2 linked regions of the Lonchura striata genome follow. The protein of the gene in region 1 purifies or fractionates together with the protein of each later gene. This does not show direct contact. Links are inferred from orthologs where the notes say so. Each region holds a gene or a part of one and is shown in the gene's direction. Other genes may lie near its edges.

Region 1 (7,515 bases):
GGCCCTTGCGGAGCAGGAGCGACGTGACCCGCCCGGCATCGTTGTAGTCCACGGCCTGCAGCAGCTTCTCGTCGTTCTTGGTCCAGTCCTGGCTCTGCAACAGGGCCCAGAGGAGGCTGTGACAGTGTCAGCTGTGACAGTGCTGTCCCCAGGGCTGGGCTGGGCTGGCTCTCCTTGTCCCCAGCCCTGTTGTGCCCCTTCCAGCCCTGTCCCTGGGGGTGGCCGTGTCTGTCCCCCTCTCCTCCGAGCTCACTCCCAGGTACGGAGAGTTCAGCAGGGATTGGGATGAAAATCCCCTCCAGTCCCCCAGTTTGCAGCTCACAGAGTGGGGGATTTACAGACACAGCCCAGTTTAGCTGTGCCAGGCTGGGATTTGGGACTGAGCCCAACTGTACAGGGGTTTGCCCCTGCCACCCTGAAATCCCAGTACTAAACCCAGTCAGAACCCATGGGAGTCCCATTCCCAGCCCTGCTTTGCTCCCGGAGGAGGAAGGGATCAAACCAGGGCGAGCACAGCTGGCAGCGAGAGCAGATCCCCAGGGATGCCCCAGCCTCCCGGGATAACGGGGCACAGCGCTGTGCCCCCCAAAACAGGACCGCAGCTGGCTGGGATTTGCTCTCCCGGTGCTCCCTGTCCCGAAGGAGGACCCGCAGTGGGACAGGACCAGGACAGGGACTGCAAGTCCCGGGTTCACCCCACAGCCCGTGACGACAAAGCGGCGCTGGCTGCGCTCGCGGTGGCAGGAAATGGATGTCACCTTTCGGGAGCCGCTGGCACCTGTCCCAAACCCGCCTGTGCCCGCCGGGTGCCCCCGAGCCCCTCCAGCCCGGTGGGACCAGGCACAGGGAGCAAACCAGTCTCCCAGGGCTCCTGGCAAACTGGGAGGGTGGTGCCCGCTCCCCCCACTCCCTGGCCAGGCAAGGACAAAGCAGGATGGGGAGGACACGGGGAGCCCCGGGATGGGGATGGGGATGTGGGGTGCAGGTGGGGCGGGGGGGACACGGCTCAGCCCGCGGGACGCGAGCAGAGGGGAGCCGGGAGGGGAGCGGGACGTACCGCGAAGGAGGCGGCGGCACAAAGGCAGATCTGCTTCATGGTGCTGAGCAGGAGGCGGCGGGAGGACGCCATGCGCCCCCCGCTCCCCGCCCCGGCCGGCACGGGCACCCCCGAGCCCGGAGCGCTCCGGCATCGCCGCCCGGGCGGGGGCCGGGGCTGCGGCAGTGGGAGCCGGACCCGCCTCCTCCGCCCCCGGCCCTCCCTCCTTCCCTCCCTCCTCAGCGCATCCCTGCATCCCTGCATCCCTGCATCCCGCCTCGGAGCGGCTCCCAGGCAGGGCTGAGCATCCTGAGCATCCTCCCGGCCCCCGATGGGGGGACCTGGGACCCCCCAAACACCTCCAGGGAGGAACCCCGAAACGCAGAGGGTCCCCAGACGCTGTCCGGGCAGTCCCGCTGGCAGCAGGACATCGGGAGCCTTTCAGGGACGTGTCCAGGGCAGTGTGGGGAAACTGAGGCATGGAGCGCCCCGAGCAGGATGGTCCCACAGACTCCGGGTGAGGGGCTTCAAGCTGTGTCCCCATGTCCCCTGCTGTGTCCCTCCCAGTGCACTGGGGACAGCGCTGTCCCCCTCTGCCCTCTGCGGCCCCATGCCAGGCTGCTGCTGAATAATTGAGGAGCATCGACAGGCTGGTTCCACGGGCTGTGGCAGCTGGCAAAGTGGCACTTGTCCCCAGGAGGGGGACAGGGAGGGGACCTGGGATCTGCTTCCCTCTCCTTTGCTCTGCCCCACTCCCAGCGATGGCTCTGGGAGCACAGGGGGTGCACTGGGGGCTTGATCCCACCAGCCAGAGTGGCAGTGCCAACTTCTGTAGGACTGCTGTCCCCGTTGTGAGCGACCACTCCGTGTCCCAGGGCAGGTCCCCGTGTCCCCACAAACACCCTGGAGCAGGTCACCGTGTCCCCACAGACACCCTGGAGCAGATCCCCGTGTCCCCACAGACACCCTGCAGCAGGTCACCGTGTCCCCATGTCCCCAGGGATGGCACTCACATCTGCCTTCTTGAACTTGGCCTTCAGGCTCTTCATGGTGGCTCAGCCTCAGCCCCGTGGCAGCTGCTCGGGAGGGATGGCCACGCTCCAGGAGGGTCTGTCCCTGCCTGGGGACAGCTCAGCGCCCCCGGTCCCGCTGCTCCCAGCCCGTCCTGGCGTTCCCAGCGCAGCGCCCGCAGCCGGGAACCGGAGCCGGGGATTGTATTACGGCCGCGGCTGCGGTTACAGCCCCGGGCAGGCGGGGGGGGGCCGGGCCGGGCCGTGTTTGGGGACAAGGGACACGGCCTGGGGTGCTGGGGAGGGCTGGGCTCTGATGGTTGGCACCCCTTGCCCATCCCAAACACCCCCCGCCCTTGGTGGCACCTCTTGTCCTGACCTGACATCCCCTTCCCCACCCTGGCAGCCCCTGGTTCTGACAGCACCTCGTGTTCTTGTCAGCATCCCCTGCTCCTCCCTGGCACCCCTGTCCTTCCCTGGCACCCCTGCTCCTCCCTGGCACCCCTGCTCCTCCCTGGCACCCCTGTCCTTCCCTGGCACCCCTGCTCCTCCCTGGCACCCCTGTCCTTCCCTGGCACCCCTGTCCCTCCCTGGCACCCCTGTCCTTCCCTGGCACCCCTGTCCTTCCCTGGCACCCCTGCTCCTCCCTGGCACCCCTGTCCCTCCCTGGCACCCCTGTCCTTCCCTGGCACCCCTGTCCTTCCCTGGCACCCCTGCTCCTCCCTGGCACCCCTGCTCCTCCCTGGCACCCCTGTCCTTCCCTGGCACCCCTGTCCTTCCCTGGCACCCCTGCTCCTCCCTGGCACCCCTGCTCCTCCCTGGCACCCCTGTCCTTCCCTGGCACCCCTGCTCCTCCCTGGCACCCCTGTCCTTCCCTGGCACCCCTGTCCCTCCCTGGCACCCCTGTCCTTCCCTGGCACCCCTGTCCTTCCCTGGCACCCCTGCTCCTCCCTGGCACCCCTGTCCTTCCCTGGCACCCCTGTCCTTCCCTGGCACCCCTGCTCCTCCCTGGCACCCCTGTCCCTCCCTGGCACCCCTGTCCTTCCCTGGCACCCCTGCTCCTCCCTGGCACCCCTGCTCCTCCCTGGCACCCCTGTCCCTCCCTGGCACCCCTGTCCTTCCCTGGCACCCCTGCTCCTCCCTGGCACCCCTGTCCTTCCCTGCCATCCCGGCCTTTGTCAGCACGCCCTGTCCTTCCCTGGTAGCCACTGCTCTGCCCTGGCACTCCTGCCCTTGCCAGCACCCCCTGTCCCTCCTTCCTTCCTTCCTTGGCATCCCCTGCTCTTGGTGGCACCTCTTGTCCATCCCTGGCACCCCTGCCCATCCTGTGTCCCCCCGGGCAGGGGTTCAGTGCAGGTGGGGCAGTGTCCGGCAATGTCGGGGCAGTGCCAGGGCAGTCCCGGGCAGTCCCGGGGCAGTGTTGGGTCAGTCCCGGTTCAGTCCCGGTCACTCCGGTCAGTCCCGGTTCAGTCCCGGTCACTCCCGCTCAGTCCCGGGTGGTCCCGGGTCAGTCCCGGTTTAGTCCCGGTCACTCCTGGTTCAGTTCCGGGCAGTCCCGGGTCAGTCCCGGGTCAATGTCGGGGCAGTGTCCCGCAGTCCCGGTCACTCCCGGTCAAGTCCCGGGCGGTCCCGGTTCAGTCCCATGTTACTCCGGGTCAGTCCCGGTCACTCCCGGGCGGTCCCGGGTCACTCCCGGTCAGTCCCGGTCGGTCCCGGCCGCGCTGAGGGCAGTCCCGGGTCGGTCCCGGGCGGTCCCGGGTCAGTCCCGGTCACTCCCGGTCGGTCCCGGGTCAGTCCCGGTCAGTCCCGGGTCAGTCCCGGTCACTCCCGGTCGGTCCCGGGTCAGTCCCGGTCAGTCCCGGGTCACTCCCGGTCACTCCCGGTCGGTCCCGGGTCGGTCCCGGGCGGTCCCGGGTCAGTCCCGGTCACTCCCGGTCGGTCCCGGGTCAGTCCCGGTCAGTCCCGGGTCACTCCCGGTCACTCCCGGTCGGTCCCGGGTCAGTCCCGGTCAGTCCCGGGTCACTCCCGGTCACTGCCGGTCGGTCCCGGGCGGTCCCGGCCGCGCTGAGGGCAGTCCCGGGTCAGTCCCGGTCAGTCCCGGGTCACTCCCGGTCACTCCCGGTCGGTCCCGGGTCAGTCCCGGTCAGTCCCGGGTCAGTCCCGGTCGGTCCCGGGCAGTCCCGGTCGGCCCCGGCCGCGCTGAGGGCAGCCCCGCCCTGCCCGGCTCCAAGATGGCGGCGGCGGCGCGGGGCGGCCCCGCCCTGCCCGGCTCCAAGATGGCGGCGGCGGCGCAGGGCGGTCCCGCGGCCCCGCCCTGCCCGGCTCCAAGATGGCGGCGGCGGCGCGGGGCGGTCCCGCGGCCCGGCCCCTCCCGGCTCTTCCGCCGCGCGGCGGCCGCGCCGATGGCGGTGAGCTACGCGGCCGGGCTGTCCCCGTACTCGGACAAGGGCAAGTGCGGCCTCCCCGAGGTGAGCGCGGCACCGCCGGGGCCGTCCCCGCCCGCCCGGGGCAGCCCCCGCCCGCCCGCCGGGCCTCCCGCGGGCCCGCCGCGTCCCCATGGCAACCGCGGCCTCGGGAACCCAGCGGGCACCGAGCCCGCCGTGTGTCCCGAGCGCATCCCGCGGCTCCCTCCCCGTCCCCCTTCCCTGGGTGCCTGTCCCCGACACCCCATGGCTCCCTGGTCCCCCTCATGTCCCCCCAGGCCGCCCCCGGCTCCCTCGGCCCCTCTCTGTGTCCCCTTCCATGTCCCTTCTCCATGTCCCCTTCCATGTCCCTTCTCCATGTCCCCTCTCCATGTCCCCTTCCATGTCCCCTTCCATGTGTCTTCTCCATATCCCCTCTCCATGTCTCCTCTCCGTGTCCCCTTCCATATCCCCTCTCCTTGTCCCCTTCCATGTCCCCTTCCATTTCCCCTCTCCATGTCCCCTCTCCATGTCCCTTCTCCATTTCCCCTCTCCATGTCCCCTTCCATGTCCCCTCTCCATGTCCCCTTCCATGGCCTCCCTGACCCCACCCTGGTCCTTCCTTCTGCCCCCACAGCCCCCTTGGCTCCCTCCGTGTCCCCCCTGAGCCCCAGCAGTTTGGGAAGCCTAAAACGAGGTTTGAGGGGAGCCACAGGGACACTGCAGCCCGTCCTGAGCCCAGGGGATGGTGAGGGGACAGGGACACACAGGGTCCTGTCCTCGTCCCCGTCCCCAGAGATGGGGCTGGAGAAGTGTCTCAGGAATTAAATCCCGTGCCCAAACCAGCATCTGGTGTCCCTCGCTGTCCCTCGGCCCTGCCCTGTCCCCAGAGCTGGTGGCACTGCTGGTGACAGTGGGGCACATGTGGGGTGGCCCCGGGTGGCTCCTGGAGCCCAGCCTGGGCCAGCTGCCAGCCAGAGCAGCAAACTCCCTGTTGGTGCTGGGAGTTCCCAGCCCTGTCCCTGCAGCGAGATGCTCCAGGCAGCGTGGAGTCTCTCCTATTAAATGTTTCTGTCCTTAAGGAATGCAAAATCATTCATGGATAAGGAAGAATTGTGGGTTACTGGGCTTCTAGAATCATGGAATCCCAGAATGGTTTGGGTTGAAGAGACCTGAAGGATCATCCAGTGCCACCCCTGCCATGGCAGGGACACCTTCCACTATTCCAGGTTGCTCCAAGCCCTGTCCAGGCTGGCCTTGGACATCCCAGGGATCCAGGAGCACCCACAGCTGCTCTGGGAAATCCATTCCAGCGCTTCCCCACCCTCACAGGGAAGGATTCCTTCCCCATATAATCCATGCCCACATCTCTCCATCCCATGCTGGTTTTTGTGTTTTCCCAGATTTTTGACCCTCCGGAGGAGCTGGAGCGGAAGGTGCAGGAGCTGGCAGAGCTGATCCGGAGCTCCTCCCATGTGGTGTTCCACACAGGAGCAGGGATCAGCACGGCCTCGGGCATCCCTGACTTCAGGTAAGTCCGAGGGCTGGCAGGGTGGCACCTCCTCCAGGTCCATCTTCCTTCATGGAAAGCTCTGATTTATCCCAGACCCGCCCCATTCCTGCTGTCCGTCCTGGATCCAGCTGCAAACACCATTTTCCCTCTTGCACATCTCAGCTGTTGCCACAGAATCCCCACATTGTTTGCATCAACCCCCAGAATCCTGCTGATCCATGAGCTCTGCTCCCATGGATGGGGCACCTGGAGCCTGAGCTCTCCCTTCCTGCTCTTTCCAGGGGTCCCAATGGTGTCTGGACTATGGAAGAAAAAGGGCTCTCCCCAAAATTCGACACCACCTTCGAGAATGCCAGGCCCTCCAAGACTCACATGGCGCTGCTGGGGCTGCAGAGAGTGGGAATCCTGAAATTCCTGGTCAGCCAGAACGTGGACGGCCTGCACGTGCGGTCAGGATTCCCACGGTACCTTCCCAGCCCCACACGGGGGGTTTCATTCCCAAGGAATCTCTGCCCTCTCTGATACAGGGAGTGGAAGCTGGAAAGGGATAAACCAGCTGGAATTTAGAGGGGAGAGGTTCTGGTGCTGTTCCAGAGGGTCTTGGAATCAAATCAGCCTTGGATGTTGCTGTCTAGAAATGTTTCCAGGTGCTGTTTGTGCATAGAAAAAACAGAGATTATGGAATTATGGAATCCCAGAATGGTTTGGGTTGGGGGGCACCTTAAAGCCCATCTCATTCCCCTGTGCAGGTGTCTGTGCAGGGCCAGGGGTTGAACTCAGTGATCCTTGTGGATCCCTTCCAGCTCAGGATATTCTGTGATCCCTGGGAGCAGTCAGGGCCAGGCTGGATGGGGTTTGGAGCAGCCTGGGACAGTGGGAGGTGTCCCTGCCCGTGGCAGGGGGGTTGATCTTTTAAAGTCCTTTCCAACCCAACTCATTCTGTGATTTTATGAGTCAGGATGTGAGTGAGGAGCATCCATGTGTCCTTGGAGAAGGTGCCTCTCACAAACACCTTCAGCCAGAGCTGCCTCCAGGGCATTTCCTGTCATTACAAGCCCCAAGTCCTGGGCCCTGCTCCCAGCCCCTTGTTTGTCTGTTTAATCCAAACAACCATGGGAAAAGCAGTAGGGAATGATCACAGAATTCCATGGTGCTCCCACAGCCTGGAGCCACTGGCTCCTGTTCAGTTCAGCCCAGCTCTGCCTCCCAAGTGAAACCTGTGCTTGAGGAAGCTGAACTGGGGCCAAACTGGGGGAAATCAAGTCAGTCCTGTCTCACGCAGCCTGGAGGAAGTTCCCAGTGAGCGTGGGGCTCTGAGGAAAATAGGGAGAGCATGGCTGCGTCTTCCTCTGGCTTCTGCTCTGAGCCTGAGGGGGATTTTAGGAAAAACAGGTGTCAGAGGGCTGGAAGAGCACAGGGACAGACAGGAATGTTGGGTGCTGGAGAAACAAAGATCTGGGTGCTCCCAGGAGCAAAGATTTGAGTAGGTCAGGAGCTGCAACCAGATGGAAACACTGAAATTAAAAGGCTGGGACCTGCTGTCCCTTCCTGAGT
Region 2 (7,588 bases), on another chromosome or scaffold:
TAACGAAGGTGAGACACTCATCCCAGTGAGAAGAACTGGACATGCAGTCTCTATCCAGTTATGTATTTTCACAAAACCCGTAGGTATACATCAACTTTGGGAGCTATGCCTCATCATCACAGGAGGCTGATACTGGCCAGCCTGTTGAAGAGTGATGGAGATACTGACAACCACACACAGAGAAAATGGAATTGTCACAGCCTGGTAATGAGGTCTGGAAGAAGTTGCAAGGCCTCTGCCTTGGTGGCTGGAAGTTGTTCTCCCTAAGAGGGAGCAGGTTCTCACAACTAACAAGTGCAGGCCAGATCCTTCTTTCTTGGGAATGCCAGCAAACAGAAGAAATGGGTTGTAATTTTTATAATTTTCCAGGTGGTATTAAAAATAGGCTACACAGACAACCACCAAACGCTCTGCTCAGCAGCTCTTCCCTGTGACTGCTGATGACACATCTGGGGAAGCACCACAGACACCCCAGGCCTCCCTGGAAACAAGGCCAGGCAGGACATTCACCTCCCTTCCCTCTGGCAGCCTGGGCAGGGGACTGCCAGTGTCCTTCCCAGAGGGTTCAGGGTGAGGCCCTGGTGACTCAGAACCACCTGCACCTGCGGCAGCTCCTCCCTCCCTTGACACTTCTCCAAGAGTCACAGACCTGCAAACCACCAGCCACTTGTTACCAGCTAAGGAGCAGCCTCAGAGCAGAGCAAGGACAAGTCTCCAACTTTCAACTTTAACCCACAGCATTATCCTTCAGGATGGAGGACCCCAGGGCACTGCCCCGGAGCCGGCTGTGGCACACCCAGCACTGACTCACCTCCCAGCCTGTGCAGGACACGGGTGACCGCATTGGAACAGCCCTCACAGGTCATGTCCACGAAGAACTCGTGTTTCTGGAAAGAAAAGAGGCAGGTGAGGGGTCCAGGGGAGCACAGCTGGAAATGCACCATGAACACTCCACACTTTCCTTTTTCCCTTGGAGAGGTTCAAAGTCTCTCAAGTCTAAAGGTCCATATGCACACCACTAAGAGGTCCTCAGCAAAACTGAGAACTCTTGGTACTGCCCCCTGTGGTGTCCTTGTGCTGTCCCCCACAGCATAATCCTGATGGGCCTTTGGAGATTGTGTGGCCACTTCCACAGTCAGTACAAACGGCCATCTCCATGGCCTGTGCTGGACTTACTCATCCTGTCCAGGGGACCCAAGGAGAAGCAAATCTCCTGCTTCCAGCTACTCGCTGTTCTGACTTAAGTCTGTGAGGTTTTCAGTGCTTCCCCATCTTTTTCTTCTTCCATCTACAGGGCTTCTGGTCCCCAACATAACAAAAATAAAAGCAAACCAGAAATTTAAGGGCCATTAGTGCTGTTTTTTCATCCCTCCACTCGGGCCCCAGCAATATCTTTACTACTTGTGAGAGCAACACTGGGTCAACAAAACGTTGTTTGTCTGTAACTAACCACCACCTTCAACCTTTGGCACCAGATAGGTCCTAATTTCCTTCTCTCGCACATGCTTTTTACTTTCCTTTAAAAAGAAAAGTAAAACTATTGTGCATTTGTTATTTGCAACCCATACTTCCTTCTATTCAGAACCATCCTGTGCCCCCTGCCACTACAAAGCCAAAACCCTCTTGGGATCATTCACCCAGGAAGGAGCTTGGGATAGAGATTGCCATTAGGTTTTTTTCAGTGTAATTACCATTTTCTTTGGTTTTATTTCCCAAAGGCCCTGAGTGCTTTGGGGAAATGTGTGAGCAGCGGGGAAGGAGGGTCCCATCAATGCTTCCCTTCTGTGTCTGAGCCCTGGGAGTTGGTGGCGGCCTGGGGTTTGGGCGAGTTCAGGACTGGGGGAGCCTCGGAATTTGGGGGACCTGCAGGATCTGGGGGAGCCTTGGGGTTTGGAGGAGCTGCAGTATTTGGGGGGCTGGGGGATTCTTAAGAGTTTGGGGGACCTGCAGCATCTGGGGGAGCCTTGGTGTTCAGAGGAGCTGCAGGATTTGGGGGACCTTGGGGGGTTGGGGCATTCTTAGAGTTTGGGGGACCTGCAGGATCTGGGGGAGCCTTAAGAGTCTGGGGGAGCTGCAGGATCTGGGGGAGCTTTAGAGTTTGGGGGACCTGCAGGATCTGGCGGACCTTGGGGGACTGGGGGAGCTTTGGAGGGCTGGGGGAGCCCTGGGGAACCAGGGGAGCAGCGAGCACAGGAGGAACTCTGGAGGTTTGGGGGAGCCTCGAGGACAGGGACAGTCGGGGGGTTTGGGGGAGCCCCGAGGGGCTGGGAGAGCCTCGGGGGATTGGGGAGCGCGGGGCGCTGAAAGAGCCCCGGGGTTTGGGGAACCTCGGGGACTGCGGGAGCTCCGAGGGTCGCGGGAGCCCCGCGCCGCCCCCGGTAGCGGGCAGAGCCCTCCTGCCCCGCCGCCCCGCCGCGTCCCCGGCCCCGCAGAGCGCTCGGGCCCCGCACCCACCGGCATGGCGGAGCCCCGATCCCCGATCCCGGATCCCGGCTCCCCGATCCCGGATCCCGGCTCCCCGATCCCCGATCCCGGCTCCGCGGTCCCGGATCCGCGGGCGCGGCGGCGGGCGCGGCGCGGAGGAAGGGGCGGGCCGTGCCTCGGGAGGCGGGGATGCCGCCGAGGGCGAGGGAAGGAGTGGGGGGGAGCTGGTCCGTGTGGAGCTCCGAAACGGGAGCTCTGCTCGCTTCCAGGCTAGGGATCGGCACGGAGAAATGGCTGCGGGAGGGAGGTGGGGAGAGCCGTGAGGATGGGGCCGGGCTGCTGAAGAAAGCTTGTTCGTCTTTTGAGATTTTGAGATTCATTGGCTTGGGAGAGCTCGGGTAGAATGGATATTGACGGCGGAAAAGGATTCTGGTCCCTGAAGATGTGTCTGCTTTCTTTTTATTTATTTATTAATTTTTTTTTTTTCTTCCCTGGCTCTATGGTCCTTTAAAGGAAAATTAAGCCCCTTTCTAAAAAAAAACTCGAGGCAAGGTGGAGTACCCGGGAGCAGCTGAGGAGCTTTCACAAGGAAGCTGGAGAGGGGACAGAGCATCACATCAGGGCTGAGAAGAGCTGGCAGAGCTGTGGTGCGTGTGACACTTCCCGAACACGTGCTGGGTTTCAGCATCTTCCCGTTGAGAAGCCCAGCCTGTAGCAGGGAATGTAACCTGCTGTTTCTTGTTTTCTGCCTCACCAGCTGGGGGTCAGGGCATTTCTTTTGAGGTGCACAGGATACTGCTGCTGTACCGATGGTTTTATAAAAGAGGAATTCCCTGCCCCGCTATTGCTCTGCAGAGGGATGTCCAAGATCCCCTTGGCAGAGTTTATTCGGGGCGGGTTGTTGTGCTGGGCTCACGTTAAACTTTGTAAAAGTCTGCAGCGCTGATTTATGAACTGGCGGATTGCAGCGTGGCTTAGTCTAAAGATAGCGAGGAGGTACTGGGGGAGGACATTACTGCGGAGCGTGTCCCCACGCCCGTGCCCTGTCCCTTGCTGCGAGGCACGGCAGGGAGGGGTTCAGGCAGCGCTCAGGGATGCGGCGGTGGGCAGGAAGTCATTTTTGTAGGGTGAAATCTGTCTCTGAGTGCTTCATGTCGTAGATACGTGTGGGGTGGGATGTGGCACAGTCAAATGGAGAGCTGTGGCTGCCTGGAAGCTGCTTTGCTCTGGCTCGCTGCCTGCTCCCATTCCCTCCTGCTCGCCGGGGTGCCTGGACCAGCAGCTGCTGGTGAGCAGAACGATCTGAGAACTTCCAGGCCTTCCTCCTTTGTAGGCGTGTTAGAAAACGCTCCCGCATGCATTATCTTTCCTCTGGGGCAGATCATGCTGAGCGTGCTTTGCTCAGAAGCTGTGAGGGAGAAGCAGCAGCTGGACGAGCCTGCCGTGATGGGCAGGGTCAGTGACCACCACTGACCACCCCGGCTCTGGGTGTGGTGGTGCCTCGGCTCCCGAGAAACTGGGGGTTTCTCTCAGTGCGTGGGACAGGCGAGCCCCACGCAGCCTGTGCAGACACAGCGAAGCGGGCGGCCGCTGCCTGTTCACTGCTGGGAGCGCTGCCTGCGCCCTCACCCCGCACGGCGCCCGCCGCCATGCCGGCGCCCGCCTCGCTCCAGCAGGGCGCGCTGCGGAGCGCGGGACGCCGCCCCGCCTGGCGCCCGCCTGCCCCTTTAAGAACCGCGGCTGGGACCTGTCCGTCAGCGCCCGCCGCGCTCTCCCATTGGCCACCGCCCCCCGCGGGTCCCGCCCCATCTATAACGGGGTTTACCAGCACCTTCTCAAGGGCGCTGCAGTGCGGCTCAACCACACTGCGGCGCCCGCCGCGCGTCGTCCCATTGGCCAAAGCGCAAGTCTATCAGCAGTTGCCCACCGCTCATTGGTTCGCCCGCCTGTCAATCACTCTCACGGCCCCACGGAGCGCTGCGGCATGGTTGGCTGGCTGTGCTGCCCCTCAGCGCTCCGCCCGCCTCCTCACGGCCGCGAGCCAACCGGCATCCGAATGAGGGCGAGCGGCGCTGTCTGATTGGCTGGGCCGCGCCCGCTGGGGTAGGCTGCGCGCCGGATATATGTAGCGGGGGGCCGAGCACGCCGCTGCGTGAGGCGCTTCTCGTCCGCCGGGCTCTTTGGTGAAGCGGCGCCTCCGCTCCCGTCCCGCTCTGCCGCAGGTGAGGGGGTGGCGGCGCGGGGAGGCACCGGCGCGGCAGCGCCTTGGCGCGGGGCCCGCGGGCCGCACGCAGCGCCCCGCTCCGAGGCGCCCCCGGCGCTCCGCAGGCCGCGGGCCGTGCGGGACGGCGCTGCTGGCGCCTCCTCCCCCTCCATCCCGCCCGCTCCCGCCGCGCTTTGTGGCGGCCGCCGGCGCCGTGCCGCGGCCCCCGTGCGCTCCGCAGCCTCCGCCCCAGCTCCCGGTGCGGCGGCGGGGCAGGGGGGCGGCGGGGGATCGGCCGCCGGCGGGCCCGCATTGTGCGCGGCGAGGTGTGCGGGGCCAGCTTTGTTCTCGGGTTTCCAGGCTCGGATGCTCCTTCGCTCGCAGGTTTTGGGTTTAGTTTTGGGCAGGTGGGGCCGGGGAGGAGCCCACCCGAAGCCCGAGGTGTGCCCGGTTAGCGGGGAACGCTGGCTGCGGATTGAGGGGCAGCGCTGGCTGCTCGCACGGCCCGGACCTGGGTAACACCTCCAGGTGCCTCCCTGGGTATAACTTTATAGGTAAAGGAAGTTAAAATTCAGGAGCAGGAGAGCATGGATCTTAACCTGGTTTACCGCATGACCTTGGCTGAATCCGAGATTAAGCCAAGCTTTAAATGCGAAGTACTGCTTGTGATGAGACTTTCCAGCATCCTGTAAGGCCCCAGATGTACGTGCTGGAGAAACCCCAGAGAAAAGGTTTCGCTACATCTTCCAGTAGCGCCTGGTGTTGATCTGGATGTTCTACCGCGTTCCTAATTCTCAGCGGGCTTACCTGGTGACCTTCTATGTTAAGGCTTGCATGAACGTAATAAGTAGTCTTTACCAAAAAAAGGATTTTTTTGTTCCACCGTCGGAGGGAAAGCAGCTTTTGCAGCAAGCCGCCATGTTTCCAGTGTGTGCTATTTTTGGCAAGCCCCTGCTCTCACAGCCAGGAGTGACAGATTTAGGAAATCTGGACACTGCTATCAAGCTTCGGAAGCTGATGCTTCCAGATGCCATAAATCAAACGTGGGGAGGGGTGTGTTGGATTTTTTTTTTTTTTTTTAGGTAACAAAGCTTATTATATTGATGTCATAAAGGGAAATGCAGAAGTTGACAGACAAAAACTGCATTTCAGACCTTTCCTGATATTTTTCCCTTTGACCAGATTTTCACTTTTTTTCTTCTCTGTCTGGTAAGGAATAAGCCAAACCATTTTTCTAGATAGCTCTGTGATACTTCCATGGTGCTGATGCTAGCATCTTCTCATCCTGTGAACTGAACTCACCTTTCCTGGGATGTTTCAGTCACCATATATAATGATGTAAAAAGTTGTGAATCTATTTTTTTTTTTTTTTTTTTTGCATAGTATATGTAGCTAATTTGAAGGTTGGCTGGAAGTATTCACGTGCTTGAAGTCTTACATCCTTATCTTCATGATGGAGATCTCACGACCTTTTTTGACAGCATCACATGTTGCAGGGACTGGTTTGCCTGAAAAGCGCTACTAAAACCTGAAGAAAGTGTAATTGTACAAAGTCTGTTAGGAAAAAAAAAAAAAAAAATCAGTCCTGGTACCTTTGCAAAAGTATATCATAATTCTATAAATCTTAAATATTTTAAAAAACCTTAAGCTTGTATACATCAGGAGGTAAAGAATGGCCCCAGTTCCTGACTGGTGTGAATTTACCTTTTTTTCTTGCTAGGTTGTGTTAAGTGTGAACTCCTTAAGTTGAAGGCAGGGAAGCATAATTAAAATTAAAGTAGGAAACCTGGTGGACAGGACTTAGTCTATGTGTGCCGAGCCCATCAGGAGATTCTGTTGGGAATCTTTGCATTTGGAGTCTGAGAAAAAACAAAAGCAGACCAGAGGATTTGTTTGTGCTGTGATGGCAGGACCACTGCTCTGCTGCTCACTCTGGTGCTGGCACAACAGCATCATCAGTAGAGTTCAACACAACTGATGGAGTTTGAACATCTGAATTTTAGACAGAATCTTTATGCAAATTATTTGTTTCAGAGCTTTGTTTTTCACCCTGCAAATTGTAAGGGAAACATACAGAGCAATACTTTTTACTGAAAGGAAAATAAAGCAAAGGTGATGTTGCTTTTGAGTACATCTTGGTAATTCTGTTCAAAACAGTAGGACCTGATGAGAGAGCACTCATAAGGTTGGCATAAATGGCCTGTTAGAAAACACTATTTTAGTTTTTAATATTAGCACCTGGGCCTTTTTGTCTGACTGAGGTGATGACTGAAGACTCAAAGAGGAAATCTGAGCAGAGCAGGGCTTCAGCAGGGTGGTGCTAGTTTCTGTGCTGGCTGTGGTCTGCTCTGCTTGGAACAAACTAAAAGTGCTAGTTTGCTGTAGAAGACTGGATGATTTTTTTTTTACAGGTTCCTATATAAAATCTGCAGACTTGAAGTAATTATTTGATTTCCTGGGGTACACCTACTAATAGTAGACTTGATTGATAACCTTAAGCTACCTCATTGAGTAATTAAAAAGGAAAACTGAAGTCTGATCCTCAGGTACTGTAAAAGAATCCTTAAACTTTGCAGGCAGTGAGAGTTGTGCTGGCTCGAGGTCCCAGTTCTGCTATATAAAGTCTGGAGCTCTTCCAGGAAGACACGGCTGGTGCAGTGCAGCTCTGGGAGCAGGAGCCTGGCTGCTGCCAGTCATGGAGGAGTGATCTGTGCTGAGGCAAATGTGCAGCACTGCACTGGAAAATGCTGGTGCCCATCTTCCATTTCCATCTGCTCTGCCCTGTGCTGTCTCCTGGCTGCTGCTGGGCTGGTTGTGTTTTGTTTTTAATGTAACAGTGCAGGGATGGGTCAGTCCCGAGTGCCAGGATACAGCTGAAACATCAAGTTTAAGCATCTTCTGTGACCTAAGTGGGTAGAGGTGAAAGAGTTGATTCTCTTTACAGTTCTCTGTTGCTTGGCA

What was found. The genes of interacting proteins can lie anywhere in the genome.
Region 2: the proteins of SIRT6 (region 1) and G3BP1 purify together in Homo sapiens (affinity purification with mass spectrometry; 3 studies listed by BioGRID and IntAct, with this or other methods). This does not show direct contact. The link is inferred for Lonchura striata from reciprocal best matches to the Homo sapiens genes SIRT6 and G3BP1.

What each region holds. Positions count from the first base shown.
Region 1 is NC_134630.1:6,748,146-6,755,660, forward strand, and holds the start of SIRT6 (NAD-dependent protein deacylase sirtuin-6), read left to right. Parts: upstream 1-4,417; 5' UTR 4,418-4,448; coding exon 4,449-4,514; intron 4,515-5,851; coding exon 5,852-5,979; intron 5,980-6,242; coding exon 6,243-6,425; intron 6,426-7,515. Other genes in the region: ANKRD24 (ankyrin repeat domain-containing protein 24), read right to left, coding at 1-94, 1,058-1,129. UniProt on the Homo sapiens protein: NAD-dependent protein deacetylase, deacylase and mono-ADP-ribosyltransferase that plays an essential role in DNA damage repair, telomere maintenance, metabolic homeostasis, inflammation, tumorigenesis and aging.
Region 2 is NC_134617.1:6,071,433-6,079,020, reverse strand, and holds the start of G3BP1 (ras GTPase-activating protein-binding protein 1), read left to right. Parts: upstream 1-4,527; 5' UTR 4,528-4,646; intron 4,647-7,588. Other genes in the region: copper transport protein ATOX1, read right to left, coding at 812-887, 2,455-2,460. UniProt on the Homo sapiens protein: Protein involved in various processes, such as stress granule formation and innate immunity. Plays an essential role in stress granule formation.